Linked DNA regions of Tribolium castaneum. The protein of the gene in region 6 purifies or fractionates together with the protein of the main gene of each other region. This does not show direct contact. Links are inferred from orthologs where the notes say so. Each region holds a gene or a part of one and is shown on either strand. Other genes may lie near its edges.

Evidence for each region.
Region 1: the proteins of Mms19 (region 6) and Dna2 purify together in Homo sapiens (affinity purification with mass spectrometry; 3 studies listed by BioGRID and IntAct, counting the BioPlex papers as one, with this or other methods). This does not show direct contact. The link is inferred for Tribolium castaneum from reciprocal best matches to the Homo sapiens genes MMS19 and DNA2.
Region 2: the proteins of Mms19 (region 6) and galla-2 purify together in Homo sapiens (affinity purification with western blotting; 11 studies listed by BioGRID and IntAct, counting the BioPlex papers as one, with this or other methods). This does not show direct contact. The link is inferred for Tribolium castaneum from reciprocal best matches to the Homo sapiens genes MMS19 and CIAO2B.
Region 3: the proteins of Mms19 (region 6) and PolD1 purify together in Homo sapiens (affinity purification with western blotting; 3 studies listed by BioGRID and IntAct, with this or other methods). This does not show direct contact. The link is inferred for Tribolium castaneum from reciprocal best matches to the Homo sapiens genes MMS19 and POLD1.
Region 4: the proteins of Mms19 (region 6) and Prim1 purify together in Homo sapiens (affinity purification with western blotting; 3 studies listed by BioGRID and IntAct, with this or other methods). This does not show direct contact. The link is inferred for Tribolium castaneum from reciprocal best matches to the Homo sapiens genes MMS19 and PRIM1.
Region 5: the proteins of Mms19 (region 6) and threonylcarbamoyladenosine tRNA methylthiotransferase purify together in Homo sapiens (affinity purification with mass spectrometry; 4 studies listed by BioGRID and IntAct, counting the BioPlex papers as one, with this or other methods). This does not show direct contact. The link is inferred for Tribolium castaneum from reciprocal best matches to the Homo sapiens genes MMS19 and CDKAL1.
Region 7: the proteins of Mms19 (region 6) and Prim2 purify together in Homo sapiens (affinity purification with western blotting; 5 studies listed by BioGRID and IntAct, with this or other methods). This does not show direct contact. The link is inferred for Tribolium castaneum from reciprocal best matches to the Homo sapiens genes MMS19 and PRIM2.

What each region holds. Positions count from the first base shown.
Region 1 is NC_087394.1:25,789,546-25,792,716, reverse strand, and holds part of Dna2 (DNA replication ATP-dependent helicase/nuclease DNA2), read right to left. Parts: intron 3,155-3,171; coding exon 2,458-3,154; intron 1,003-2,457; coding exon 817-1,002; intron 765-816; coding exon 534-764; intron 487-533; coding exon 188-486; intron 1-187. UniProt on the Homo sapiens protein: Key enzyme involved in DNA replication and DNA repair in nucleus and mitochondrion.
Region 2 is NC_087394.1:1,667,320-1,670,819, forward strand, and holds the end of galla-2 (MIP18 family protein galla-2), read right to left. Parts: intron 866-3,500; coding exon 670-865; intron 620-669; coding exon 264-619; 3' UTR 216-263; downstream 1-215. Other genes in the region: transmembrane protein 234 homolog, read right to left, coding at 1-38, 106-121.
Region 3 is NC_087397.1:21,404,755-21,408,254, reverse strand, and holds part of PolD1 (DNA polymerase delta catalytic subunit), read left to right. Parts: intron 1-716; coding exon 717-978; intron 979-1,032; coding exon 1,033-1,266; intron 1,267-1,399; coding exon 1,400-1,572; intron 1,573-2,635; coding exon 2,636-2,885; intron 2,886-2,937; coding exon 2,938-3,067; intron 3,068-3,186; coding exon 3,187-3,500. UniProt on the Homo sapiens protein: As the catalytic component of the trimeric (Pol-delta3 complex) and tetrameric DNA polymerase delta complexes (Pol-delta4 complex), plays a crucial role in high fidelity genome replication, including in lagging strand synthesis, and repair.
Region 4 is NC_087395.1:25,582,804-25,586,790, forward strand, and holds Prim1 (DNA primase small subunit), read right to left. Parts: upstream 2,525-3,987; 5' UTR 2,378-2,524; coding exon 2,275-2,377; intron 2,231-2,274; coding exon 1,705-2,230; intron 1,651-1,704; coding exon 1,237-1,650; intron 828-1,236; coding exon 634-827; intron 580-633; coding exon 560-579; 3' UTR 501-559; downstream 1-500. Other genes in the region: uncharacterized protein LOC659605, read left to right, coding at 1-490; aldo-keto reductase family 1 member B1, read right to left, coding at 2,645-2,684, 2,735-2,995, 3,043-3,290, 3,483-3,854, 3,903-3,987. UniProt on the Homo sapiens protein: Catalytic subunit of the DNA primase complex and component of the DNA polymerase alpha complex (also known as the alpha DNA polymerase-primase complex - primosome/replisome) which play an essential role in the initiation of DNA synthesis.
Region 5 is NC_087394.1:32,857,710-32,861,866, reverse strand, and holds threonylcarbamoyladenosine tRNA methylthiotransferase, read right to left. Parts: upstream 2,801-4,157; 5' UTR 2,677-2,800; coding exon 2,660-2,676; intron 2,604-2,659; coding exon 2,474-2,603; intron 2,425-2,473; coding exon 2,201-2,424; intron 2,150-2,200; coding exon 1,728-2,149; intron 1,340-1,727; coding exon 495-1,339; 3' UTR 444-494; downstream 1-443. Other genes in the region: l(3)04053 (endosome-associated-trafficking regulator 1), read right to left, coding at 1-124; 2-oxoglutarate and iron-dependent oxygenase domain-containing protein 3, read left to right, coding at 2,921-2,929, 2,979-3,061, 3,114-3,705, 3,753-4,025. UniProt on the Homo sapiens protein: Catalyzes the methylthiolation of N6-threonylcarbamoyladenosine (t(6)A), leading to the formation of 2-methylthio-N6-threonylcarbamoyladenosine (ms(2)t(6)A) at position 37 in tRNAs that read codons beginning with adenine.
Region 6 is NC_087400.1:4,137,469-4,141,414, forward strand, and holds the start of Mms19 (MMS19 nucleotide excision repair protein homolog), read right to left. Parts: upstream 2,801-3,946; 5' UTR 2,732-2,800; coding exon 2,644-2,731; intron 2,599-2,643; coding exon 2,396-2,598; intron 2,349-2,395; coding exon 2,168-2,348; intron 2,125-2,167; coding exon 1,919-2,124; intron 1,870-1,918; coding exon 1,726-1,869; intron 1,676-1,725; coding exon 565-1,675; intron 520-564; coding exon 398-519; intron 344-397; coding exon 243-343; intron 194-242; coding exon 49-193; intron 4-48; coding exon 1-3. Other genes in the region: GCS1 (mannosyl-oligosaccharide glucosidase), read right to left, coding at 2,968-3,946. UniProt on the Homo sapiens protein: Key component of the cytosolic iron-sulfur protein assembly (CIA) complex, a multiprotein complex that mediates the incorporation of iron-sulfur cluster into apoproteins specifically involved in DNA metabolism and genomic integrity.
Region 7 is NC_087395.1:23,554,214-23,558,397, forward strand, and holds Prim2 (DNA primase large subunit), read left to right. Parts: upstream 1-1,384; 5' UTR 1,385-1,617; coding exon 1,618-2,334; intron 2,335-3,041; coding exon 3,042-3,558; intron 3,559-3,611; coding exon 3,612-3,781; 3' UTR 3,782-3,902; downstream 3,903-4,184. Other genes in the region: RRP12-like protein, read right to left, coding at 338-1,108. UniProt on the Homo sapiens protein: Regulatory subunit of the DNA primase complex and component of the DNA polymerase alpha complex (also known as the alpha DNA polymerase-primase complex) which play an essential role in the initiation of DNA synthesis.

The DNA.
Region 1 (3,171 bases), on a different chromosome or scaffold from region 6:
AAACATAAGTTCATAGTAGCGCATTTCTCAAGCACCCTGTATGATTGAAAATAATTTTAGGTGAGGCTGGGGGTTAGTATCTCCAGCTTCTGGAAAAAATATTTATCTTTCAATTATATAAAGATCCATAACTCACTGGGACACTTGTGTATGTTTTGTAGTTTCCAAGTTAGATTTTTTCACTCACCAGTGCCTGGCATCCCCTTGATCAGCAAAAACTGATTTGCGCACAATGCTTTAAGCACAGCCTTCTGTTGCACATGATTTAGACGTCGTAAAATCGGGGCCCCCTTTTTCGCAACAACTGACGGCAGTTTTGGTGCAAAAGTGGGCGGAGCTTTATCAATTATAACACTCCTTAACTGAGCAGCCCTTTCCGAATTCTCAATAAGCAACACTAAACTTGTCATATTAAAAGTGAAAGTGATATTTGAATCGTAGGTGTCGAGATGAAACAATTGATTGCGATATTTTACATTGAGATCTCTACAATTAAAAATGACAAGGACACAAGGGGGCGTGGTTTATTATACCTATCAAGTGTAATACTGATTTGAGTTGGGGAGACTTCTGTTACGAATCCTGACGCAACAGCAGGCCGGGAATCAGTGCTGACGACTATGTAATTATTTTCAATGATATCGTAAGCCGTAAGGTTGGCCAAACTGGGATTTTCCTTTTCCATTGTATGTTTAAATAAACCGTTGGTTTCATTTTCGACAAAAGTCACTCTCATGTTGACAATCGATCGACCTAAAGCTTCTCTAAAAAATAGACAAAAACGTAAAAACCACTCAAACTACAACAAACGCGAACCTTTTAGCCGGTGGTAAAGTGTAAATTTGTTGTAGCGACTTTGTTGTTTTACTATGTTGTGCTTCCATGCTCAACAAATTACTCCATTTAAGAAAATAATCTAAGTGTGCTTGACTCAAATGACCAATTGATTTCTTTTGTACTTCTTGCATCGCTTTATTTTCTGTTAAATCGTGATCTTCAAACCTGAACAAAAAAAATAACATTAATAATAATGATAATAATTCTTCATTCATGCTATAAATGCACATGTCAAACTAAGTATATTTTAATAATATTTATGAATACAAACTTAAACTTAAATAATAAAAATAAATCATAAAGAATTTATAAACATAAATTAATTAAATTCCCATTAAATATCACTAAAGTTACTGTTCAGAGATTTCTCAATACTGTAGATTTTTTTTAATCAAATAGGTCTTTATTTCATCAGTAGAACTATTAAGAAAAGACATTTAAAATCTTTAGGAAGAAGTTGGTGTTTTATATTTTCTAGATGCTGTTTATACTCTAGGAGACAATTCAGGAAAATATTGTTAATTATACAGAGAGTCCCAAAAAAGTATGACGACAAAATGATATATTTTTAATGGCATGACATTATCTTTTTGTGCTCATTAGGATACTTTTTTAGCTTCTTACAAGACCCTGATGTTCTTTTCAAATCGGTTCAAAAATTACTGTAAAAAAATAAAGAAAAAAAAACGGTTTTACAATTTTTGTTTTAAAGATTGATAAAAAAATAGAAACAGTGCCTTTTTGATCACATTATTACTACGTACATATTGAACAAGTTCTAACAGTTTATCAAGTTTGATTGATTTGAATTGCTACAGGGTGCTTACAATTTTTTAGAGCCATTTATTGTGCTTATTTCAAATGGCTACCCCTGTTTATTTTTATATTGTTATTTTTTATTCATTTTTTAAACTAAAGGTGTAAAACCAATTTTTTTGTTTTTATTTTTTTAAAGTAGTCCCTGAACCAATTTGAAAAAAATATTAGACTAATTTTTTTAAATCCTGGACTAAGCCACTTAGAAGCAGAAATTTTGGAACCATTATTACGTTTGATCTGTTTTTCTGGAAACGCTGAGTAAAAATTATCCATAATGTTGTTAAAAAACATGGTCAATTTGTTATTAGGGTCAATGTCAAAGTCCAAAAATTCCCAATTCAGTAACTTTTTTAACGGATTGTTGAAATTTAACACTGGTTAAAATCGCAAATCTAGGAATTTTATTGGCTGTTGTTATAGCAACAACGATTAACGGCCTTTAAATTTTAACGATTTCATTACAGAATACGCGCTTAAGCAAGTTAAAAAAGTTACATTTTCCGGTTTCACTTATTGGTCTCATAATTTTAATAACACCGTATTAAGTTTAAAAATGATTTTGAGATAATCACTGATTTATGTAATTCGAGTGGACTGATTGATGTTGTTTTTGGTCCAATTTATTATTTTCAATATATACAATAATAACAAACTTATCAAAATTTTCGGGGAAATACCTTCGGACTTTTAAAAATGATTTGTCAAAGTGACATTAAATATGTCAAATTCGAACTGTCAAACTGATATTTATTATGTTTATTATTTCTATTATTAATAAAACATTTAACTAAAGTTACTCACTTCAAATAGGCGCTGCAAACGGTACTCAAAGCACACTTCTGACAAACCCGAATATTATTCAACGGCTCCGGTAATTCCCCTACGTCACTGGCCAAAAAATACGCCAATTCGTTCCGTAAAATCAAAACATCACGTTTTTCTTGCTCTGTGGCCTTAATCTCCTTCAAAACCCCTTCTTTCAAGTAGAGCAACAGACCAGAGGAGACATCAAGCCCGAACTTATTCATCATCATTAAGTACAAAACGACTTGTCCTCTGTGCTCAAGTGAGACAGTCGCTCGACCTGTCTTGACCTCGAGGGGCATAACGCCGGTATTTGACCGCACTGTAACATCGATTTTTCCCTTGAGCCCCAACTGGGGACACCACAAGTTTTCCTCAATATCCTCAATGTCGCAGATTTGCCCCGTTGTTATGTGTTCGCTGATAAAAGCGACCAATTTGGGCACAAACACCTCCAAGTCTGATTCAAGGTCGGCAACGGTTAGGTTGGCTTCGTACAATCTTTTTATCGTGTCTTTGGATGCGAGCAAATTTTTCAAAATCGCCTCAATTTGCTTCCTTTTTGTTAATTTTTTTCTCAAAGATTGTTGGAGGAGGGTGTGTGCTAAAGTGCCGATTAGCATGACGCGATTTGTTGGTTCGAAGCCACGGAAACGGTCGGATAAGACAGCTTTGCGTTTGCAAAATAGACTTCCTAAATTTTTTTAGTAA
Region 2 (3,500 bases), on a different chromosome or scaffold from region 6:
AGTCCCGCCCCAAAGTATGGCCACGCATATGAGACACCCTGTAGACAAAAACAGGGGTGCAAACTTGGGAAAAATCAGTGGTACCAACAATCAGGCAATGCTTACCTGCTTCGTAAATCATTACAAATACATAAAAGAAACTTGTAATGACTAATAATTTAACCTAAAAAATTGTGACAGTGACAGGACGGTACCAACCATGAAATAAAAACCCCAATTTTTTATTTCTTTATTTACAACACTTTACATTTTTTTACAATAAATTAACCGCGTTTTCTGTTGGAAATGCACTGGTTGATGACCTGGATCAAGTGTGGGTTTTCCAAAGCCGCCGCAACCCTTTCCTTATCAGCTAGTTGTTTATTTACCGAATTTTCCGCATTATGAGTCCCTTTAGTGACCTCAACCCTCACTTTAAACCTTGCCGGTAAACACCTAAGTAATTTCACACGAATTGAAAGTCCTATTAGTGTGGCCATACTACAATGTGGTATAGTTGGTGTAAAATTTACAAAAATCGAATTATTTGCATTGTCAACTTGAATCAGACTTTCCTGGACGACGTGCAATTGCTCTAGAGTTAGGGGATGTTCTGGATCAGTGATATTTCTAATCAGATCTGAAATCTACAAGTTAGGAATGAATTTGTGAGGTTAATGTTAGTGTCACCAAAAATTTCTCTGGAGTCAAATTCGTCAACAACATCGTCGTTTTCTTCTTCAGCTGTGATTAAACGATCAGTGGTTTTGTTATAAACGTTGGGGTTTTGGTTTTCGAGCTGTTCGAGGCGCATTTTAAGAAAAATGTGGACTCCCCAAATGTCAAACTGAACTAACTCAAAAAGTGCAATAAAAATAGGAATTAACTAAAATAAAACACTTATTTTAGTTAATAAAGTTTCAAAATAGTGGATAAATATTGCATTAATAGTTTAAAATCTAAATTTTATTGTTCTCCGACAATATTTGCATCTAGTATAGGCAACCAGTTGTACGCCGGTGTTTCAGGAGTTGCCTAAAGTTTTAATTTCATTAATTTAAAATTATAATATTTTTAATTTTAATTAAAGGAATTGCAAAAAATCTGAAAAAAGTCACACCCATAGGAAAACTGGGAAAATTAAATCGCGCTCTAAAAAATTAGATTAGATAAAAATTCTTTGCATGTTACAAGCCTGACTGAACATTAGAAAAGTGTCTCCCCTAATTTTTTGGTAATTTTTCACTTACAGACAAAAGTAAGAATGAAAAAAAAATTTTCTGGCCAAAAAGGCAAATTCTGAATTCACAGTTAGTGTCCAAAAACTCATAAAACTGCTAGGATTTTATTCATTAACAAAAAAATTAATAAAAAATAATTATTAATTAAAAAAAGTCCTTATCAGTGTATATATAGTCAAGTGTGTAAAATTTAATTTTAAATTTTGACTAATTAACGATTCTATTGAATTTATTTTTGAATTTTTTGTAAACTGAAAAGTTATAATAAAATAATATAAAAGAGATACAGGGTGTCCCAGCGATTTGATAAAGTCCATTATTATTGACCTTTAAATGTTAGAAAATTATCTGTTTTTTTACAAAAAACTGTAGATATTAACCCCCTCTGACTCACCTAAAATTATTAATAATTATTAATTAAAATTATTAACTATATATTTTTTGTATATTTGGGTGTAACCTTTAACAATAAATTGTTTTTGCTCAATTGTGTTTTTGAGATAAACAAGTTTTTTTTTAATATGACATAAAGGCTTAATCCTAAAAAAGTGGGACTTTCACCACATCAAAGAAGACAGTTCAAACTCAAAGGACATGTTTTTTTTAGCTCACTGAGATCAAAATAAAAAAAATTATATCTAAAGGTTAGGATATGAAACGACGTACAAATAAAATGCTCCCGTTCTCGGTAGTTTCGTTTAATGTCGCCAGAGAGCACAGTTGTTCCAATACCGTCTAAGTTTTTTTTAATGGTTGTATTTGCATAACGGTTAACATATAGCATACAAAAAAAAATACAGACAGATAGAGCATTAAATTCCCAATATTAAGGCATTAAATTCCCAATAGTAAGACATAAACATAATGCAAAAACATTATCGTAAACTATATTTAAAAAAAATTCAAACTTTTACTAACTTGCACACTGTCTCATATTTTCCAAAACGCTGCGAATACGGTTACAGATGCAAGAAAAATGTTAGGAAGAAAGTTGTAGAGAATTAAATTTCCTACAAAAAAGTCCGCGAGACCATATTTTTATCTTCAACCGTTTAGGCCCCAAAGTCATTCAAAGACGCTCAAGCGACGGATTTGCTTCATTTTTCCAGTGGTCAAGTGATTTTATACCCAAACCGTTGAAGATAGAAATATGGTGTCGCGGACTTTTTTGTAGAAAATTTAATTCTCTACAACTTTGATTCTCACAATTTTTTTGTATCTTCAGCCGTAATTACAGCGTTCGCAAAAATGTAAGATGGAACGCAAATTGATAATTCTAAGTGATAACTTTTTGCGCACCGTCGCATATTTATCAAAACGCTGGGAATACGGTTAGAGATACAAAAAAAGTGTAAGGAACAAAGTTGTAGAGAATTAAATTTCCTACAAAAAAGTCTGTGACACCACATTTCCATCTTCTATAATTTAGGTATAAATTTAAAATTTTTCAAAAATTCAAATTTTTGAATGTTTTTGGGGCCTAAACCGTTGACAAAAGAAATACAGTCTTGCCGATTTGTTTTGTGTTCAGAAAATGTTGCAAGTTTGTATCCTAACTTATAGTCCTCCGTAGTCCGAAGTTAGTAAAAAAATAATAATTTTTCAATTATTTCCAGGTCAATAGTTGCAGCAAATTATCTCATTTATTTTGCGTTGTGAAAAAAGAGTTTCAGGTCTTGTATAATAAAACCCAACGTGTCAACAACATTCCGCAAGCTCTCTAAATAGTGTTTTTTTTCATGTGTTGTTTATAGCCGTCCCCAGCATCGGGCAATTAATATATCAATATGTAAATAAAAATAAAAGTGTGTAGAAATATTCAGGCGCCGGCGTCAGATTGTGTCATAAGAATGCTGTTATACCTAAATCAGGGTTCTTGACGTCTCTCAGATGCCTGTTATCTAGATTATAAAATCGAAGCAATCAATCAATCGTCCGCATCTAAGTCGTGTGTCTTTTTTTGGTCACAGAGGCGCCAACCGAAACCCCCTATCGATACCCTCTGACCCCATCCGAATATCATAAATAAGATTTTAGGGGTTTTTTGGTGCCAGTAGCGCTGATTTTATGGGTCTGATGGCATCCAACATGATTGATAAACGCAGATAATTGAAAAAGTGGCAATAAAATTGTCGTAAAATAATTCAGATCGAGCCGGTTTATTGAGCAATTTGTTAATAATTAATACGTGACGTCTGCGATTAGCGAACGATTTTCTTAAGGGGGTCGCGTACGTCACCAGGCGGCGCCACCAACGCATTTATAAATTTGGTAACGAAT
Region 3 (3,500 bases), on a different chromosome or scaffold from region 6:
AAATAAAAAATAAGAATAAGGTAATAAAAACTCTTAAAATAACAAAAGTAAAAAAAGTTAATATGGTAGCGCTCAGCTCCATTTGCGTGTGCGTCATCTGACATTTCTGTCACTACGTGTACATAGCAGGGGCATAGCGGTGACAAACTATCAAATATTTTTTGAGGTTACGAAGTGTTTAAATTATGAGTTGTTACAAAAAATACAGATTCACAAAACAAGAACTAATAAACGCAGAATCAAAAACTAACGAAACGCAAATTACAAAACACAATAAACGAACAGAAAATACTTGCGATTAACACCGATAACACTTTCGACAACCATGCGACGACGTCTATAATTTACTGTCAATGTCACTTTGACAAATTCGTGACACTTGACGGTGTTGTCGAAGTGCACATGTAAATTAATGTTCAAGGATACCACCCTTAGATAGCCCTTAGTTGTTTAAATTTGCATTGTTTTTGATATTTTTTTATAGCTTCGTGTTGGTAATGAAAAAATGAAATTGATGATGCACACGCAAATCGAGCTGACCGCCACTATACCAATTTACGGTCTAATAGCACCTAACGCAATATCCCTGCACACAAATTTTCAAATGAACATTCTTTAGGACATCTAATTTTGATAGTAATTGTTGCCAATTTAGTTTCAAAGGCAATGTGTAGTTAACTTCTATTTTCAATATAATAAGTAAATAAATGTTCCAGTTTAAGTGACGAGCAAGTTACAACCACTCCAGCAAATTGTATGTTTGTGAAGTCATCGGTTAGACCCGGTTTGTTACCACACATCTTGCAACATCTTCTTGCAGCGCGTAAAAAAACCAAAGCTGAGTTAAAGGAAGCAACAGATCCTGTTGTAAGAGCCGTTTTGGACGGTCGGCAATTGGCTTACAAAATTTCAGCTAACTCGGTTTATGGTTTTACGGGAGCTCAAGTCGGAAAATTGCCTTGTTTGGAAATTTCAAGTGTAATTTGTTTCACGTTTTTGTTAATTATTGTTTTTATTGTTGTGTTACTTTAGAGTGTAACTGCTTATGGTCGAACAATGATTGAACAGACGAAACAAGAAGTTGAACAACATTATCGCATTGAAAATGGTTACGAATCCGATGCGATGGTTATTTATGGGGACACTGACTCGGTTATGGTTAACTTCCGAGTGAAGTCTTTAGAAAGAAGTATGGAGCTGGGGAGGGAAGCAGCTGATTTGATAAGTGCCAAGTTTATAAAGCCCATCAAGTTAGAATTTGAAAAGGTGAAAATTATGTTAATTTTTATCAGAGTGGTCGTGACTTTGAAGTTAAGTTGGCAGTCTTGTTATTTTAAAGTCACAGCTAACTTTAATCAAGTTTTTCTTTATCTTTTTGTTTATGTTTGTTTGGTTTAAGGTTTATTGGCCATACTTATTGATTAATAAAAAGCGTTATGCTGGATTGTATTTTACAAAACCGGATAAATACGACAAAATGGATTGCAAAGGTATTGAAACCGTACGAAGGGATAATTGTACATTGGTTGTTGATGTAATTAATTCGTGTCTGCGAAAACTTCTGATTGATAAGTAAGTTTTTTATATTTTATTTTATTTTTAACGTAGCCTACTAGATAGTAGATTATGTTATTAGGAGCAAAAGTGATACTTTATCTGGCGAAGCCGAAGGTTTACTGTTTTTTTTTAAATAATGTTTTTAAACATTAATTTTTTGTAAAAGTAGAACATATTACACATGTTTGTGCCTTTGAAGACTAAGACATCGACTTTTGATTTCTTTTTTAATATTTTAAAAATACGTATTCGAATTAAAAGTAATTTTTACAGCATAATCTTTTACCAAAAAAATCGTCGTAGTAGGGTGCCATTTGAAAAAAAAAAAAAGAAAAAAAATATCACAAACGATAGGGTTTCTAACACGCTTCAATTTGATGCTTTGATAATCTCCCAAATTTTCATGATGTAAGCGTAAAATGCAAAAAACTACATTGAAATATTTTTTTTTCAAACCATTGCAATAATTTTTTTATAATAACATTTCTTATACTTTTTAAGTGAGAATTCCGAAACTGAAACAGTTTGTTCGCAAAATCCGAAGAGATGATTAATTAAAAATTGTTAATTTTTGAGTTATTAATTTTTTTTAATCAATGTTGCAAACTAAATTTAAAGTAAAGACTGCTTTAATTAGATGTTTCATTGAACACTTTTGATGGCAATTCTAAATAACGTTCTTAATATTGAATGATTTGAGAAAGAAAATATGAAAGCAAATATTTTTTTATATGAAGTATACTTTGCTATTTAAATTACTCCTAAGTAGAAACAACCAACAATTTTCTAAGTCAAATACAATGTGTTCAAAAATGGCTGTTCATCACGTCGCCTATGAAATTTGAACGTAGTATGCCGTGTAGTTTAAATTAAGAACTTTGCCGAAAAATGCAAAAAAAGTGAGTGAAAAGTTAATTCAAAAATTTCAGTACTCAGAAAGTACAATTAGTATTATTTTTTGTATTTGGACGAAGCGACACATTGAATTTAAATGCCATAGTCGACTTGATGGACAACAATTTTTGAACACATTCTATTTGTTAATGTGGCCCACTTTCATGTTTTTCAAATTTTTCAGAGATCCAGATGGTGCTGTTAATTACGCCAAAAAAGTTATTTCGGATTTGCTCCAAAACAATGTAGATATTTCTCAATTGGTGATTACGAAAGAACTTACAAAAAATGATTACGCTGCCAAACAGGCACATGTTGAATTATCGAAAAAAATGACTAAACGAGATCCTGGAAATGCTCCTAAATTGGGAGATCGCATACCTTATGTTATAATTGCAGGAACGAAGAATTCCAAAGCTTTTGAAAAAGCAGAGGTGATTAATTCACTTAAATTGTTTTTAGGTTATTGAACGTGTTTTATTACAGGATCCTATCTACGTTTTGGAGAACAACATTCCAATTGATTCGCAGTATTACTTGCAAAATCAATTGTCTAAACCTTTGATTCGCATTTTTCAACCGATTTTGGGAGACAGTGCTGAGTCAATTTTGCTACGTATGTCTAATTATCTACAGTTTACAACGTTTACGCTCACTCGTTTTGGCAAACATAATGCTTGTTAAACAAAATCTTTTCATAACTGATCACGTAAATAACTATTTGTGGTGTTCTAGGGGGTGAACACACACGGACTAAAACAATGGTCACTTCTCGAGTGGGTGCTTTATCAGCATTTACTAAAAAGAAAGAGACTTGTCTGGGGTGTCGTTCGGTTTTACCAGCTGGTTATGAAGCAGAAGCTGTTTGTAGTCACTGTAAACCAAAGGAGGCAACGTTGTATCAACAGGAATTGGGACATCACAGAATGTTAGAAAATCGTTTTTCGGAACTTTTTACCGAGTGCCAGAGATGCCAGGGATCTTTGCATGAGGAGATTTTGTGCACAAGTCGTGACTGTCCAATTTTTTATATACGGAAGAAGGTTCAA
Region 4 (3,987 bases), on a different chromosome or scaffold from region 6:
GTTTGATCTGTACATGACTTTGCAAGACATTATGGTGCTGACTCAGGTGAATCAGGACCCGAAACCTAGTCAGAGTTGTCCGAGGTGTGAGTCGCTTTTTATGGATGTTACGGAAAAGTCGTGTCTGGATTCGGAAATTGAGAATAGGTCTTGTCCCTGTGATGGGTTCGTTTTGACGAATCTTGACGATTTAGTTGTGAGGAACGCCTCACTTTTTATTGTGAATAAAGTAAATGAGTTTGTTGATCAGCGAATGTGTCGGAGTTACGAGTTGAGGAAAGTGTTAAGTTCCAGTGCTTCCTGGAGTTCGGGTTACAAGAAATTACTAATAAGTGTCCAAACGTACCCCTATTCAGTTTTTGAGGCGTTTGTTACGTATGTTGATAAGGTTTTTGAGCTCGATGGTGAAATTAAAAGGCTAGATTTTGCCATTGTTAGGTGTGTTAGTGATTCGTTTTTGAAAAAATATTGTGTGTGTAAGGGTAAATAAAACGATAAAATTATAAATGTTCATTTATTTCGTAATCAGTAACAATGAGTAATAAAAAACGTAAACTAATTAATATTCCATTACAGTTCCTGGAAATTCAAACAATTAATTTGTGTTCGTTACATCAAGGCAATAAAAATCACCATTTTTTATGGCCCTGTTTCGGGCAGCTGAAGCCTGCAAGCCTCTTAAAAACTCGCAAAAAATTGTAACATATTTGAGTAAACTTGTCTTCTTGTAGTCTTTTATTTTAACACTGGTTTGGGAATTTTCCGCTAAATCTTTCTCCTGAGCTTTGGTTTTGGCATCGTAGGTGTTTATCTCGTCCAAGAGTTGGCTAAAATGCTTCCTGAATAAACTGCACGCCACACAAAATGTGCCACTTCTTATAATCACTCAGAAACCATTTTTCTCGGTGTTTGTTAAGAAAGCAAAATGCTCTGTGAATACTAAACTGCACACCGGAAAAAATGTGCCACTTTTTATACAGAGTTAGTGCATTTTTACTGTACCTCAAACACTAATAATCACTCAGAAACCATTTTTTTTTTCTATGTATGTATTCTTTTATAATCAAAATTACTTAAACAAATATTCGCCAGCCTCAAAAAAGAGACCCTGTATATTTCCGTAAAAAATCGGGCAAAAAATGTGAAAAAATAAGACACAGTTTCGGGCAGAAGTATAACAGCAACACTTGTATAGTATTCAAAGTGGTACATTTTCAGTGTCGGGCAGTTAATTACCTGACTGTGGGTACGGCATCTGGGTCAAAATGCTCGATGAATTTGGGCTTAAAAGGCACCGAAACTTTGCCACTTTTCGGGTGAATGCAAAACGGCGCTTTCAGCAAGTGATTTAAGCTTTTGGTGACGTTGATATCAAGTCGCGGATACGCATAGTAAAATTTCATCTCCTCAACCATGTATCTGTAGTGTTTTGGTATTTTTTGCTCTCTTTGTAACGTCTGAAAAGTGTTAACAAAAGCCTTCCAGCGCTCGACCGAAGTCTGAACTTTGGTCATTGCGTCTCGAAACAAAGGACTAAAACCCTCGTCAATGTTGCCCAAAAAAGCGTCCAAGCGCTCATAAGTCCCTAAAATGTCCTGTTCGACAAGAATCGACTTTTCGAAATATTCATCAATGACTTTTAAGGCCCTCCTTGAATTAACCAATTATTACACAACTTGGGAGCAAAAATGAGGAGATAATTACTCAGTGGCCGCATGCATGTTGAAAAACTTGACTTTTCGTACCACAAGGCCCCCTCGCAACAAAGTCAAATATTCAGCAATAGCCGACCGTTGATTATCATCCAAGATCCGGGCCTTTTTATCAGCCACCCAACAATGGATGCCTCTCCGACCCGAAAACACCCATAAAATGTTCTCAAAACCGAAGTCCTCCCGTAAAGCCCCATCCAAAATCTTGCACGCAATCACCATAAACTTCCAGCATTTGGGGCACACCCCAGCTCCCGTACAACAAGTCCGAACATCATCATAATCAGTCATATCGATATCAAACACAATCTCTCGCTCGACTGGTGTTTTGGAGCTAGAGTAACTTCCAGACGACTCAAGTCGCTGCTTGTAAATAGCCCCAATATCGATTTTAACCGGGAAGCGTTTATGGAGCGCTTGGGCAAAGTCCTCCGCATTTTCGAAACTCTGGTAACGGAGGTAAATGTCTCCGACTAGAGTGAACGAAATTTCGCGCCGGTTGGACACGTTGGGGTCACCTGAGGGGCTCACTTGACCAAAATCGAGCTTGGAGGCAACTTACCGTAGCAAAGCCATTTGTGGAGCGCTGTATGGGGGAACAGACGCTTGTAGTAGATGGGGAGCAGGTCAGGGAGGCTGTCTTCATTGTACAAAGAGGCACTCATCACGCAAAACACAGTGACAACTTTTCCCGCCAAAAAAAGTGAGGTTGTGTCGCAATTGGTTGCGAGCTTATGCAACCAACATTACGTCATTTATTTTTTTATTTAAATTTCGTTGCATAATGATCGATATCATCAGTGTGTAAAAACATGAATTTGCTATTTATTTGATTATTTATTAAGTAAAGGGTAAAATACAACATAATCATTTTATATCATGGGTTATGCAACCAACATCCGGTCACATTGTAATGTTTCAATTAAAAAAGCTCATTTTTGTGCGAACGGGAAATCGGGGTGTTTATCAAGTCTAAAATAACCAAAGTAAGGCTAAAAACTGACTCTGTGATTATTCTTTACCCTCCAAAGACCTTAAAATCGCAAACTCTGGCCGCCTCCCCCACATTTAAACCATACAAAGTTTTCATCTCATCGTCACTCAACACAAAATCGAACAATTTTCGATTTTCATCGATTCGTTTCGGCGTTACACTTTTAGGAATAACCGCAATGCCCCTCTGAATCAAGAAACGTAACGCCACTTGAGCTGGTGTTTTTTTGTGTTTTTTTGCAATCTCACTAATTTTTGCATCTTCCAAAATATTTGCCAACTGTCTGGGTCTGCAAAAAAGTGTCTAGAAATGAAAAAAAGGGCGCAAAAATCGTACTGTTGGCCCATTTTTTGCAAAAACTTGTTCATGCCGGGATTCCCCAAAGGAGAGTAGGCAATAACAGCAATTCCGTTTTTTTGACAAAATTCTACAAGTTCGCGTTGTTGCAAATAGACGTGGAGTTCGACTTGAAGTGCGGCGGGTTTAATTTTTGCGTTTTTTAGCACGGTTTCAATTTGAGAAATGTTGTAGTTTGATAAACCGATATTTTTGGCCCTTCCGGCATCAACCTGCTCTTCCATTTTCTACAAAATTTACAACAATGGGCAAAAAATAGCTACAAGTTGTGTTAATTCGTTCATAATTAATACTGTTTAAAGCACGAACGAGCAATAGCGAGTGAGCGCATCAAATAGCCCACTATTTTATTCTGGTAAAACGGTGGTAATTCGGTAATTGATAAAGCGTTTTTTGTGTTAAGTTATTTTTTTTCAAACCTTCCACAGGGCGACGTGGTCGGTCTTTCCCTCAGTCTCAATCTCCCCTTTATCGTTAAATCTGGGCCGTGCTTCCCCCTCGTAATAAGTACAACCAACGGGGAAATGAATCAAGTACAAATCGACGTAATCCAATTGCAAATTCGTCAATGACTTTTTTATAAACATGTCAACCCTGTCTGGGTGAACCCCCGTCATCGGAAGTTTAGTCGTAATAAAAACGTCCTGTCTTTTCAAGCCGGAAGCAAAGCGTTTTTTCAACACTTTCCCAATCGCCGCCTCATTTTCATAAACCCAAGCTGTGTCAATGTGCCGATAGTCTAAATCTAGGGCGTTGTTGACCGCAGTTTCGATTTCTTCATCGCTTATCGCCTGATTGATAAAAAATGAAATAAAAAAAATTTGATGCCAATAACCCACCTCCCAAGTCCCTAGGCCCAAAGCCGGCAGTTTTTGCCCACTTGGGAGCTTCAAATACAGTTGCGAGCCCATTTTTGTATAAAAT
Region 5 (4,157 bases), on a different chromosome or scaffold from region 6:
CGTCGCCCAAGTCCAGAAGGACAGGTTGAACGGACTCCTCGGAATCAGACTCCTCACTAAATGGGGCTGTGTGAGACTTTCCACGACTGTTTTCCGGCAATTCATTCGCATCAGCCATTATCATACACGCTCAAAATAAATAAACGTCAACTTTTGTGATGCTGTCAAGTGTCAGTTTTGTCAACTGCGAGCGCGCCTACTAATTCGAATTAGAAATTGATAAAATTTTCAAAAATACAAGTTTATTTCAACCTCTAGTCGTTAGTCAGGGTTCTGTTGTTGTGTCATACGCCCTAACAGATCATTACCATTTTCTGAAACCGATGATTTGTATATTGACAACTAAAGGTTGGTACTGCTTAGAGAATTCTTCCCGAAAAAAATACTGGACTATGAATTAGTACTGCCAACGTAACACTTGCGCAAAGGTGAATCCAAAAAAATTCTTTTGAAATCAAATAATTTATATTTGTTTAATAATAAAATTTAACAACTTAAAGTATCATCCACAAGAATCTGAAAATAATAGACACTCCTAACACAACTAGGGTGATTAGCACCCTCACATCGTCCGTTTTCTTCAACTTGACTCCCGAAACTTCGCCGTGTTGTAATGGCTTGGCAATTCCAGGCATGACCTGGCTTAGGGGTTCCCCCGTCATTGAGAATTTCGTCGCACTCACAATTTTCACAGTGACCAGCTTCCCCATGTACTTCTCATCTTTCGGCACCAAAACTTGCTCGTAAAATTTGTTATGCCCCACGTAATGTTTCTTATCGTGGGACACTTCCGTTACTAGCACCTCCTGTACTTCCCCTACTTTCTTATCATACGGCTGATACGAATAAAACAAATCGGTCAACCGCTTAGTTCTGCCTTTCACTTCTTGCGCTGGTATTCTCGGAAGCAGAGCCGCCGGTGTGCCAGGCCTTGGGAAGAACTGGTTGATAAATAAACTAGGGAACTTGTATTTTTCGCATAGGGATAAAGTGTCTTCAAAATCTTTTTCCGTTTCTGTGGGAAATCCACAGATTATGTCGGTGGCAATCGTCATGCCTGGGATTTGCGATTGGAGGAAATCAACAACGTGTTCAAAATCTTTTCGGAAGTATTCGCGTTTCATGTCGGAGAGGACTTGGTCGCTTCCGGATTGGACTGGAACGTGGAGAAAACTGTACACACGGGGGTGGTTCATTATTTTTGCAACTTCTGATAAGTGTTCGAGGATGTAAGGGGGGTTGGTCATCCCTAATCTCAAGCGACAGCCTTCAGGAATTACTTCGACAAGCTTCCAAAGCAGCTCCGGGAGCGAAGTCCCGATGTCCCTTCCATATGTGCCTAAAATAAGCCAGAATTAAATTTCAGGCCAAAGTGCGACGACAGTTTTTTTTGAAGGACTTGTCTTCACTCTGCTCGTCACATTGCAAACATTTACGATTCTTTAATAGATAAACTCAGTTGTTAGAACAACTCTAGCTAGAACCTAACAAGAACTGGGTAAAATATGTACTCTAATTTTTATTGTAACAATTATTTTAACGATATTTTGCAAAATATTTGCAATTCTATTTGAAAAACCTGCAAAAACGCAAAAACAAAAATATCATTTTTGTCCCAATGCAGTGATTATTAAGTTTGTTACTTCTGCAATGAAAAATATTTGGGGAAAAACATATATTCGGGTTTTAAACGTTGCCATAGCTCACTATGATGCAAAATTAAATACCTGTATCTTCCGACGTGAGCCATATCTCAACAACACCCTCTTCAAAAGCTTGTTTCGCCCTTTCCACGATCTCTTCAGGTGGATAACTTCCTAATTCCCCCCTGGCATGTTTAGTTTTACAGTAAGTACACTGATTTAAACACCCTGTATTGATAGCAATAATTTCAATCAAGGGATTTCGCCTAACTTTAGGCAACAGCAAAGAAGCACCCCCAATTTTTTTCCCTTGTTCTTTTTTTGTACCCAACAATTTGACCGTATTTCCCTTCAAAGTCTCCTCAACAACTTCCACAACTCTGTCAATTTGCTGCACCCCTATAATGCTAAGACCTTGAATGAAGGAGGCTTTAGGGGCGCCCTGCGGGACACAACCGGCCACAACAATGTACTTTCCTAGTTCTTTGGCCTCTTGAATTTGATTTCTGTAAAAATTATTGAAAGATTTTATCAATAATGTGGTAAAAAAAAATTACCTAAAGTGATCCTCAGCTGGGTTTTTGACTGTACAACTATTGAGTAACCAAAGGTCGGCCTCTTTTTTGTTTTCGGTCAATTTGTAACCGTAAGCAGTCAACTGACCAGCCATGTACTCAGTGTCTGAGCTGTTGTGGGCACAGCCCCACGTTTTAATGTAAATTTTTTGAGTCCCTGGAATATTTTCACCGCTGACTGGCTCCACATTTTCAATCTTTTTGTCCTACAAACAAATGCATAATTTTTGCCGAACTTTAAGACACAAATTTTACCCTCTTTTTAGCTTTGACTTTAACGTTTTTACGCGAACTGTATCGTTCTTTCGGTGTTATGTCTTGAGCGGATACAAGGTCCTCAATGTCGTCGATTATTTCGGCACATGGGGCCGAAGGATTTAAATCGCTGTTTATCAAATAAAAATACAATTTAGTTGAAACATAATAGGCCTAAAAAAATACCTGTTTTCTGCTATCATTGTGTAATTACGTGGCACTTGAAAGTAATTTTATGCTTTTTGCATTCAAACCCTTTGTTCTTTTCGATTTGTTGTAAAAAAACTGTTGCAAACTGACACGAGTTCTCGAATATTAGGTTATATTTGCCCGAGTTTTAGGTTATGAAATGTGTCAAAAAAATGGAGATGTCAAAATAAGGGATGTTTTTTTAATTACTCGTTAATTTTACAATTTGATGTAATTTCCACCAGGAATTGGATGTAAATGACAAACGTGTGATCTACCAATACACTTTTGGACACAAATTATTAGAATTTTTTAGGTTATGACCGGAATAACAAAGGCACAAAAACGCAAGAACGGTGAAAAGAAAAATAACGATGTGAAAGAAACACCAACACCTTAGTACGATTTTTATTATTCCACGTTAAGCGTTCTGATCTTTTGTACATTTTAGCCGTTATGGCCCCATGCCAAAGTTCCCAAATCAGCGCATTTGGAGCCGAGGTATTGTCATATTAGGAGTTCTCTTATACGTTTGGTACACGTCAAAGGATGGCAAAGAAGTGTCGTTGGCGAAGCAAAAGGATATTTTACCCATGAGGGGGCAAACGGTGGACTGTGACACCAAATATTTGGATGAAATTAAACAATTCCCCACTTGTGTTCCAATTAAATGCGGGAGGTTTGTCTCCGATAAACTTGTCACAATTAACGAAGCAGAAACTCTGCTAAATGTGGCCAAGAAAGGAATCAGTCTAGGGGGCTCCTCTGGAGGCGCTTCAATCTTGGACATCCACTCAGGTGCCCTTTCGTTTGGGGAGAAATTTGTAAATATTTACACCCTGAAAGGGTCAGAAAAGTTCATCACAGCGTCGGATTTAGCAATTTATAAAATTGTCAAAAATAAGATCAAACATGCAATTGCTGAAAATTTCGGTATAGACAGTGAAAGTCTGTACTTGACGCATCCAACTTTTTTTTCGAAATTGTCCAACTTGGAGTCAAAGACGCCCCACGATGAGTATTGGCACATTCATGTGGACAAGGTGCCTATTTTAATTTATCAAAGTTAGTTTTCAAATATTTTTTTCAGGAAACTTATGAGTCATTTCATTACACATCGTTGTTGTATCTCACGGATTTTTCTAACGATTTTAAAGGAGGACGTTTCGTGTTTGTAGACGATGCCGAGAAACCGATGAAAAATGTTACAGTAGAGCCCAGGAAAGGAAGAGTCTTGATGTTCACCTCAGGTGCTGAGAATCCCCATTTTGTCGAACGAGTGACTTCTGGTGTTAGGTACGCAATTACCGTTTCGTTCACTTGTGACAAAACAAAGTCAATCAGTGATCCAGCAGCACATTAGCTAGTCAGTAAGTAATTAGAGTACTTAAACATTCCTCAGTATAAGTAATGGTTCGAATAATCGAGGCCGCACTGTAGTTACTGTAGATAACTGTTATTTGCCCTGTATTTATTCTAAAATACAGTATTGTTT
Region 6 (3,946 bases):
AATCTACAAAATTAAATTAATTGGTTAAATTCAATTTGAAATTATTACTTTTCTAAATTGGACTAAAACGGCCGGTTTTGGTGCGAACTCTAGTAAATATCCAAGGCCTGATAAATACGAATTCTTGTCTGGACTGTAATTCGCACTTAATTTATTCGTAACTATCGTAAAAAACTTCTGCTGGTACAAAAATCTACAAGTTATTTAATTAAAATTATTTAAGTGCTAAATTATCAACTTACGCAACATTGCAATGACTTTTGGTACTTAAAGACTCCGAATTGGACATAATTGTGCGAAAACACGGAGCTATACTTTCATCTTTATCCAAATAATCGATTAACTAAGGCGGAAAATTAATTAATTAACGACTGAGCTAACGCAATTAATTGCCTACTTTTGTGGTCCAGAATGTGCCTAATTCGTGATTACGCATAATTAAGGCCTTGGTGAGCCATGACGTAAGAATGGGGTCGGTTTTAGTGTCAACCCGTTCCAAAAATTCCCTAATTACATCATCTACAATTAATTGTAATAATTAATTAAAACACGGAATTAAATTACCATTGGGACATTTGTTCAAAATATTTGCAACCAGTTCTATAGCTGCGTTACGTCTCAAATTATCCCTCTCCCTAATTATAAATTCAATTAATTCGCTTAAAATTTCGTAATTAATTACAACATCGCGCCTTAAACAAGTCAAGATCCCGCTTAGTAAAAAAATATCCTCAATCTTAATTCGACTTAATTCGTTTCGAATCATTTCATTTTGTTTTTCGCTCGACATTCGACCAATCACAATTTTCAAAACAAATGCAATCGTTTCGTGACACGTATCACCAGTCAAAGCCATCTCGATCAACACATGGGTGATATTTTGTGCGTTTAAAACGTCAAAAATCGCGTCACAATCGTCAAATTTGATTAAAACTTTTTGTAATGTTTTTATTGCACAATTTTTCAAAATTAAATCGATTAAATGGGCCGTGAAAAATTTTTGATTTGCCAAAGTCACACACAAGGCGTCTAGAAAACATGGAGTATAGTTTTCTGTATTACCGACCACGTGCGTAGCCACTTCGTTCGGGTAATCCCGTGCTAAAGCTTCAAGACATTGTAAGACAGCGCCTTCTTGTGGCACTTGTAACAACTTGACGTAGTTTTGGTAAAGTAAAAGTCGGATTTTTTCGGGTAGTTTCGGCGAAATGTCACGTAAACAATCAAAAGCGATTGGTGAGTCAGATTTTACAAGTAAAACCGGTACTTCCCCGAGATTTTCTAAATCGCTGGCAAGTGCATACAAGTCGGTTAGTAGGCGCAAAAATGGTGTTTTTTCAGCCGTTGTGTTGGCTATATTATACATGTTTGTTAATATGGGGACGGTTTCACGCGCTACGAGGTTGGCAACGCTGTCCGATGCGTTGGCAACACTGATTATCAAACGTGCCGACGGTTGGAATAATTTTGAGTCGGGTAAAAAATTTCCTTTGATTGTATCGCAGATATCTTTGACCGTTTCTGTCAAATTTGGGTCACGTGTGTGCTTAATAACAGCTGTCATTGTTGTTAAACAGGCTTTTTCAATTGCTGGATTTGTCGTTTGGAACAGTTCTTTTTGTATGAGTGGCCATACTGTGGTTGGTGAAATATCAAAAGTAACAAATGATAGTTCCTACAAGTTTGGTGTTTAGTCTGCGGTCCGCTACAAAAAAAACCACTTACAATAAGTCGTAACGAATCCAATTTAGCAATTTCAAGCGAAGAATCGAATTTTTCTAACGCTAATTGAAGGGAGAATTCGGCAAATTGTGGAACGGCAACGAGGCAAAAGGCGAGCTTTTCAGCGAGGGTATTTCGAGTTATGCCCTGTAAAAAATTATTATTGATTGTCGTTTAATGGGGACAAAGTGGGCACGTTTTCGTCCTGTGGCGGAGCCCTAAAATCAACAGGGAAATAACACGCCAGGATTTCGAAAGCGTCCTCAGCCAGGTGCCCCAATTTGACTTTTCGTAAAAATTTCGGAAACCAATCAAAGAGAAAAATCAGGTTTTTGGGGCTGCGTTCGCCATCAACCGCCGAAATAACACCGTAGACAAAGTCGGGCCCCATTTCATCCAATTCTGGAAAAAAGACTGATATTGAATTTTAAAAGGGGGCCCAAACCTGGCCAAAATTTCTCCAAACAAGTCTCGAAAATTTGATAAATTGCTAATCTGTCGTTTTCTTGTTGTTGTTGGCACGAGACATTGTGGAAGAGTTGGACGAGAAAAGGGCCAGGGCCCCCTTTCGGGGCCCCCTCGCACCGAATTAAGGCGAGAAAACCGCGCAAAACGGCCGGTAACACCTAAAATCGCCCTCAGTTAAAAAACAGTAGCCCCTGGACTGACATACAAAATGATTGTCCTTAAGCCGGTCCGTGTAAAACTGATTTAAAAATTTTAATTGATTTTCGTCCAAAACATCGGGGGGCAAAGTCTCGACGACACGTGTCAACACCCACATGCCCAGCTCGCGCCCCTTGGGGCTCGTATCGATAAGGAGCCCCCCTAGGTCCTCGACAAGGCGTAACAAGGTCACTTGACCCGATTCAAGTGCTGAAAGTTGAGGTTATGTCACAATGTGGGGCCACTTGTACGTACCTTGGGCCAATTCGTGGCATTTTTCGGCAAATTCTTGGTCATCTATTGTAACATTTTCGAAATTTTTGGCCAAATTCGAAGCCATCATAACCAAACTTTTTGACAGATGATAATTGACCACGCATGCCCCAAATAACCTACTATAACCTTCATTTTCAAATTTCAAAAAATTACGCATTTAATTGCAGATTAAATTAATGACGCATTTAATTGCAGATTAAGTTAATGACGCTTCTGTAAACCGACCCTTAAACTTCCGTATAGCGCGGGTTTTATTTTTAATTTTTAAATAAAACACAGGACCGTACTTAGATTTTTATTGACTCAGTATTGCTCGCCCATAAGTAATACAACCAGGGCCGTCCAGCCCGTAAAAGGCCTACAGCCACTCCCCTCCCCCGTTTCGTCATTATACTGTTCCCACAGATAACCCGTTTTGAAATATTGCGTCATCACGTTTTTAATCACATTTTCCCGCAAATCTTTATAAATCGCGTTGGCTTTATCCCGATAGGGCCCCTCCGTATTGGCGTAGAAATACAAGGACCGGACTGCTAGAAAATTGATATTTATCCAAATTTGGCCCCTCCAATATGGCGGATCATGTTCGGTGTTGCGTTTCATATACAGGGGTGAATTTTTGGACAGTGATCTTAGACCAAACTTCGTCCATAACAAGTCAGGATTTCGAAGGTCATCCAAAATCTGGCCCAATTTCAACGAATCCGAATCAATCATTTGTAACAAAAACGGAAACAAACTGACGTAACCGAAAGTCGAGTCGACCAATCGGTATTCGGGATTTTTCAAGGTCACACGCACCATCTCCATGTTTTGGTTTTGTGACCTTGGTAACGGTTTCGGTCGTTTTAATTTAACAGAATCAGTGTGGTAACCATAATCGGCGTAACGCGATGCGTAATTAGACCAATGTAAATTATCCAATAGGAAATTGTCTTTCAAATAATCGGCAGTTTGTTCGTATTTATACCCATCACGGTCCAACAGTGTTGCCAACCTTGCTAAAGTATCACTAGCTATGGCGATCCAACAGTATAGATCGACGTGGTATTCGGCTTCGGTCGGATGTGACGCTCGTGGATAATCGTCAAGGCCCGAAGTTAAAGTTTTCGGATTCAGCTCACGATTGGTTGTTGCGTCACGCCCCCTCCACCGGTACATGCCAGGCCCCGCCCCTTTTTGCGTGGTATTAAACCATGCAAACCACGCCTGTAACCTTGGATACAACCGTTCCAGTGTTGCCAAACGTCCCTCGCTCAACTTATCGTAATATTTACGCAAA
Region 7 (4,184 bases), on a different chromosome or scaffold from region 6:
TTTACGATTGGATAACTTTTTTCCTAAGCATGATTTTTTTTATTTATCGACAATTCTTTATATAATTAAAATTAATAAATTATTATGGAGAGGATGAAAAAAATTAACGATGCTCGAATGTTGAAAAAGTCCCGTTAAAGTTTGTCGACCATTTTCAAGTAAATGGCAACTTAATTCAATTAAACGTGCTGCCATTTAATTGCCAAAAATATTTTTTATTTTAATTAACTAATTAAGTAATTAAAATAAAAAAAAATCTGTGAGATTAATTTTTGAAACGTAGTAGAAATATATTTTTGGACCCCAGTCCACTTAATCCACCTCAGGTGTGCCTCACTTTTGGTTTCGTATGAAGACAAAAGGGGTTCAACATCGAGGTAAAAATCTTAACCGTTGCTTCGTTAGTCCAAACAATCAATTCCTGTTTCCTCAGAAGCGTCCCCAAAATCCCAAAAATCGACTTAACGATCGTATTATTATCAGAATCGACGTAATCATTAAGAATGTGCAAAACTTTCGCCGATAAATCGCTAAAAGTCCGGCGTAAAACCGGCTCTGGCACCGTCTTGATCCCCATATTCAGCAAAGCCAACGCCGCCGTCAACTGCTCCTCACTGCGCTCCTCCCCCTCATACACACGTTCAAGTGCAGTTATCAGCGAACAATAATATTCAGTGGCCGTCTCAGAGCCCCCGTTTTCCCTAATCACCTCGCTAATCGCCGCAAGCATCGCCAGCATCTCCTTATGCAGGGCGGAATCGGCCCGGAAGACTTTCAAAAAGCGGGTGAACGACATGTTGCTGTAACTCGACCATTCGGACGCAAACGATTCCATGGTTTTGTACGAGGAGTAGGTGCCAACTGACGACTCCACATCCTCGTCCACGCCCATGGGCTCTGGGTCCGGCCGCGGCTTGAAGGCCTGAACTGCATCGTGTTTGCGCAAAGCCTCAGACGTTAAACCGCTCGAGCCCAGATTTTCTTGAAAGAAACGCGATTTGGCCAAATCACGGTACTTGTGCGTCTCGGGGTTCGAGCTCGAGCTCTGGCCCTTCGGCCACCGCTTGCCCTTGGCCTGGCCCTTCAGCTTGGACCGGAACTTCCCCATTTTTGCTAAAGGAAAACAGATCAAAAAAACATAACCTCACTTAACGACACGTGCCGTTTTTTATCGACTGGTGCAAATCTACGCATTGTATTGACAAAAAGCAGAAAAAACTTACGTTTTTCCACTTATTAACAGCAATTGGTTTTAGATAATGTTGATATTTACACAAAAAAAAACTTATTTAAACTTGATAGTTGACATTTAACTTTGCCACACGTGGTGGGTTTCACTTTCACCAACCGTGAAATAAAAAAATTACAAGAAAGTTCAAATTAAATTAATTTGGCCCAATATTTCGACTCATTATTCCTTTTTGATTGTTTCAAATGCCACACGGGGTGGAACGCCACACCTGGAAAATATCTGAGCGTTGGTTTTGCCCCCAAAAACCGGGCAGTGATTTTAGCTAGTCCCCAGATATTGGTGCCAGTTTTTGGCGGGATACCATTTAAATGTGAGGTTAAGTGAGTTAAGTTTTAACTAAACACTGTAAATTGTGAATTTTCGCCATGGATTTCACGTCGTATCGCCGCACGGTGCGAAAAGCCACCGCCGAGGAGCCCCTCTCCGAGCTGTACCCCCACGACGTGAGCATGTACCGCGAAAGCCCCAAAAGCGAGATTTCCATCCTGGAATTCGAGCAAATCGCCCTGGACCGGCTCAAATTGCTGCGAATTATCGAGCAAGCGGCCCCCAAAGGCAACCGGTTGTACAGCGACCAGTGGAAGACGTGCATTAAGGACGACTTGGCCAAGGCAGGGTTGAAAAAATACGTGCGCTTGATGGGGGGCACCAGTGGCACGAGCGACTTGGATTACCAAGCCCGCAAGGCCGATTACCTCTCACACTTTATCCTCCGGCTGGCGTATTGCCGCTCGGAGCAATTGCGACGGTGGTTTTTGAGCAGGGAACTCGAGTGGTTTTGGATTCGTTTCACGGCTCAGTCGCGCGAGGGGGTCAAGAATTTTTTACGAATTTATAAATTCTCATATACTCCTATTTCGGAGGAGGAGAAGGTTTCGCTAAGGCATGAACTGGAGGCGTCAACTGCGGGGTTGATTCTGTTCGAGGAGACTGAATTTTTTAAAGTGCCTTTTACTGAAGTTTGCTCGTTGGTGAGGGGCCGGAAAGTGTTTCTTAAGGCTGGGTTTGCCTATATTCCGTCCAGCGAGCTGGTGGTCTGCATCCAGTCGAAGTTCAGGGCTGAATTAAGCGAAGAGCTAACTGTAAGTCTAGTTATATAAAAACATATATAACGAAATAAGCCCAATTTTAGTCATTTTCAGAGAAATTATAAACGTATCTTAAAAATATTCTGCTATAAATGCTATAAGAATTTTGTTATAAGTACCGAAAATTTATTATTAACTGAAACCTATTTTTTCTACAATAACAATAAAACATCAAACGGAATTTTTTTTTTAAAACGTTTAACATTTGCACTCTGACAGGTTTGAAATCCAGCAGTTTAATTTAAAAATACTGTGATGTATGGTTTGAGATCGACTGCATATTTTATTTATTTTTATGGACTTACTATTTCGTTTTAAAACTGAGCACCCCAATAAAAACGTGGTCAAGAGTGCTTTGTAAATTTCAGCAACAATTGGTAGTTACCTATGAAATTTTCACAGCACGCGTGACTACGATTTTTATTTCGACACACGCCACCTTGACCGTTTAACAATTTGTGATTTTGATGTTTAAACATTTAATTCCTGCTATTTTAGAAAAAAATCATATTTAGACAAGTGTTATAAAGCTTGTGGAACCAAAATTAATAACCAAATTTTTTCTTATATTCTATTTTACGTAAGATGATTTTTTTATATTTTATTGTAAAACGAAATGGGCGCTTATGTTCTCAACTATTGAAGGCACTCGCTCGCTACGCTCGTCGTGCTCTAAAATAACTCCAATTCGAAACTTTCAGTGGTACAGCCACCGCATCCACCTTTTCGACGACGAGCGTATTGGGCCCCTTTTGTCCAATTTCCACAATTTGCACACGGGCCAAAATTACCGAGTCCGTGAAAACCACGAAAGTGTCGATCCAGCAGATCTGGACACATATGCTAAAAAACACTTCCCTCTCTGCATGAAACACATGCATGAGGTTTTGCGGTCTGAACACCACCATAAACACCAAGGCCGTCTAACTTACGGTCTTTTCTTGAAAGCTATCGGGCTTTTGTACGAAGATGCGCTCAAATTTTGGAGGGATGAGTTCACGAAAAAAATGGATTTGAATCAGTTTGAGAAGGGTTACGTTTACAATATCAAACACATGTATGGGTTGGTGGGGAAAAGGGCCAGTTATTCGCCCTACAGTTGTGTTAAAATTATTACGAGTAGTGTGGGGCCTGGGGAGCACCATGGCTGTCCGTTTAAGCACTGGGATGTTAATCTTGTTAAGCAGAAAGTTATCGAATGTGGTGTGAGCGTTGATGGTAAGTTGGCTTACTTTTTTATTTAAATGAAGTACTTTTTGTACCTATTACAGGTGCTAATGAAATCAAGCAGCTTGTTTCTGATGGTCATTATCAACTAGCTTGTGGAAAATATTTCGAATACACTCACGGAAAAGCGCTGGGAAATGGAATTAATCACCCTAATCAGTATTTTGAAGAGAGCATGAATATTGAAAAAGGAGCTTCAGGCAATAAGAAATAATATCTGTTACTACAATTAAACGTTATTTTTTAATAATTTATTTTATATTTACCCTTCAGTCTAAATTGCATCCGTTTTTTTAATTTGGTTTTAATAAAGTCCCAAAGACTTTAATTGTTGATACATGCTTTCACGTTGTATTTTATAGTTAAATAAATATTTTGGAGAATAATAATTGTGTTTCGTGACTTCAATGGCCCAAAAATTCCATTCAAATAAATTTTATTAACACATCGTACACAAAAGATTACATTCGTAATAAAGTGTCAAAAACATATTGTAATCTAGAGTTTAAGCTATCTCTACTAAAATAACTTTGGTAAATAAAACTGAGTCATTCAATTGTTTGACCTAACAACTGTACGTTTCTTTGGCTAATACTTGAAGCCCGTGCTGAAACTCT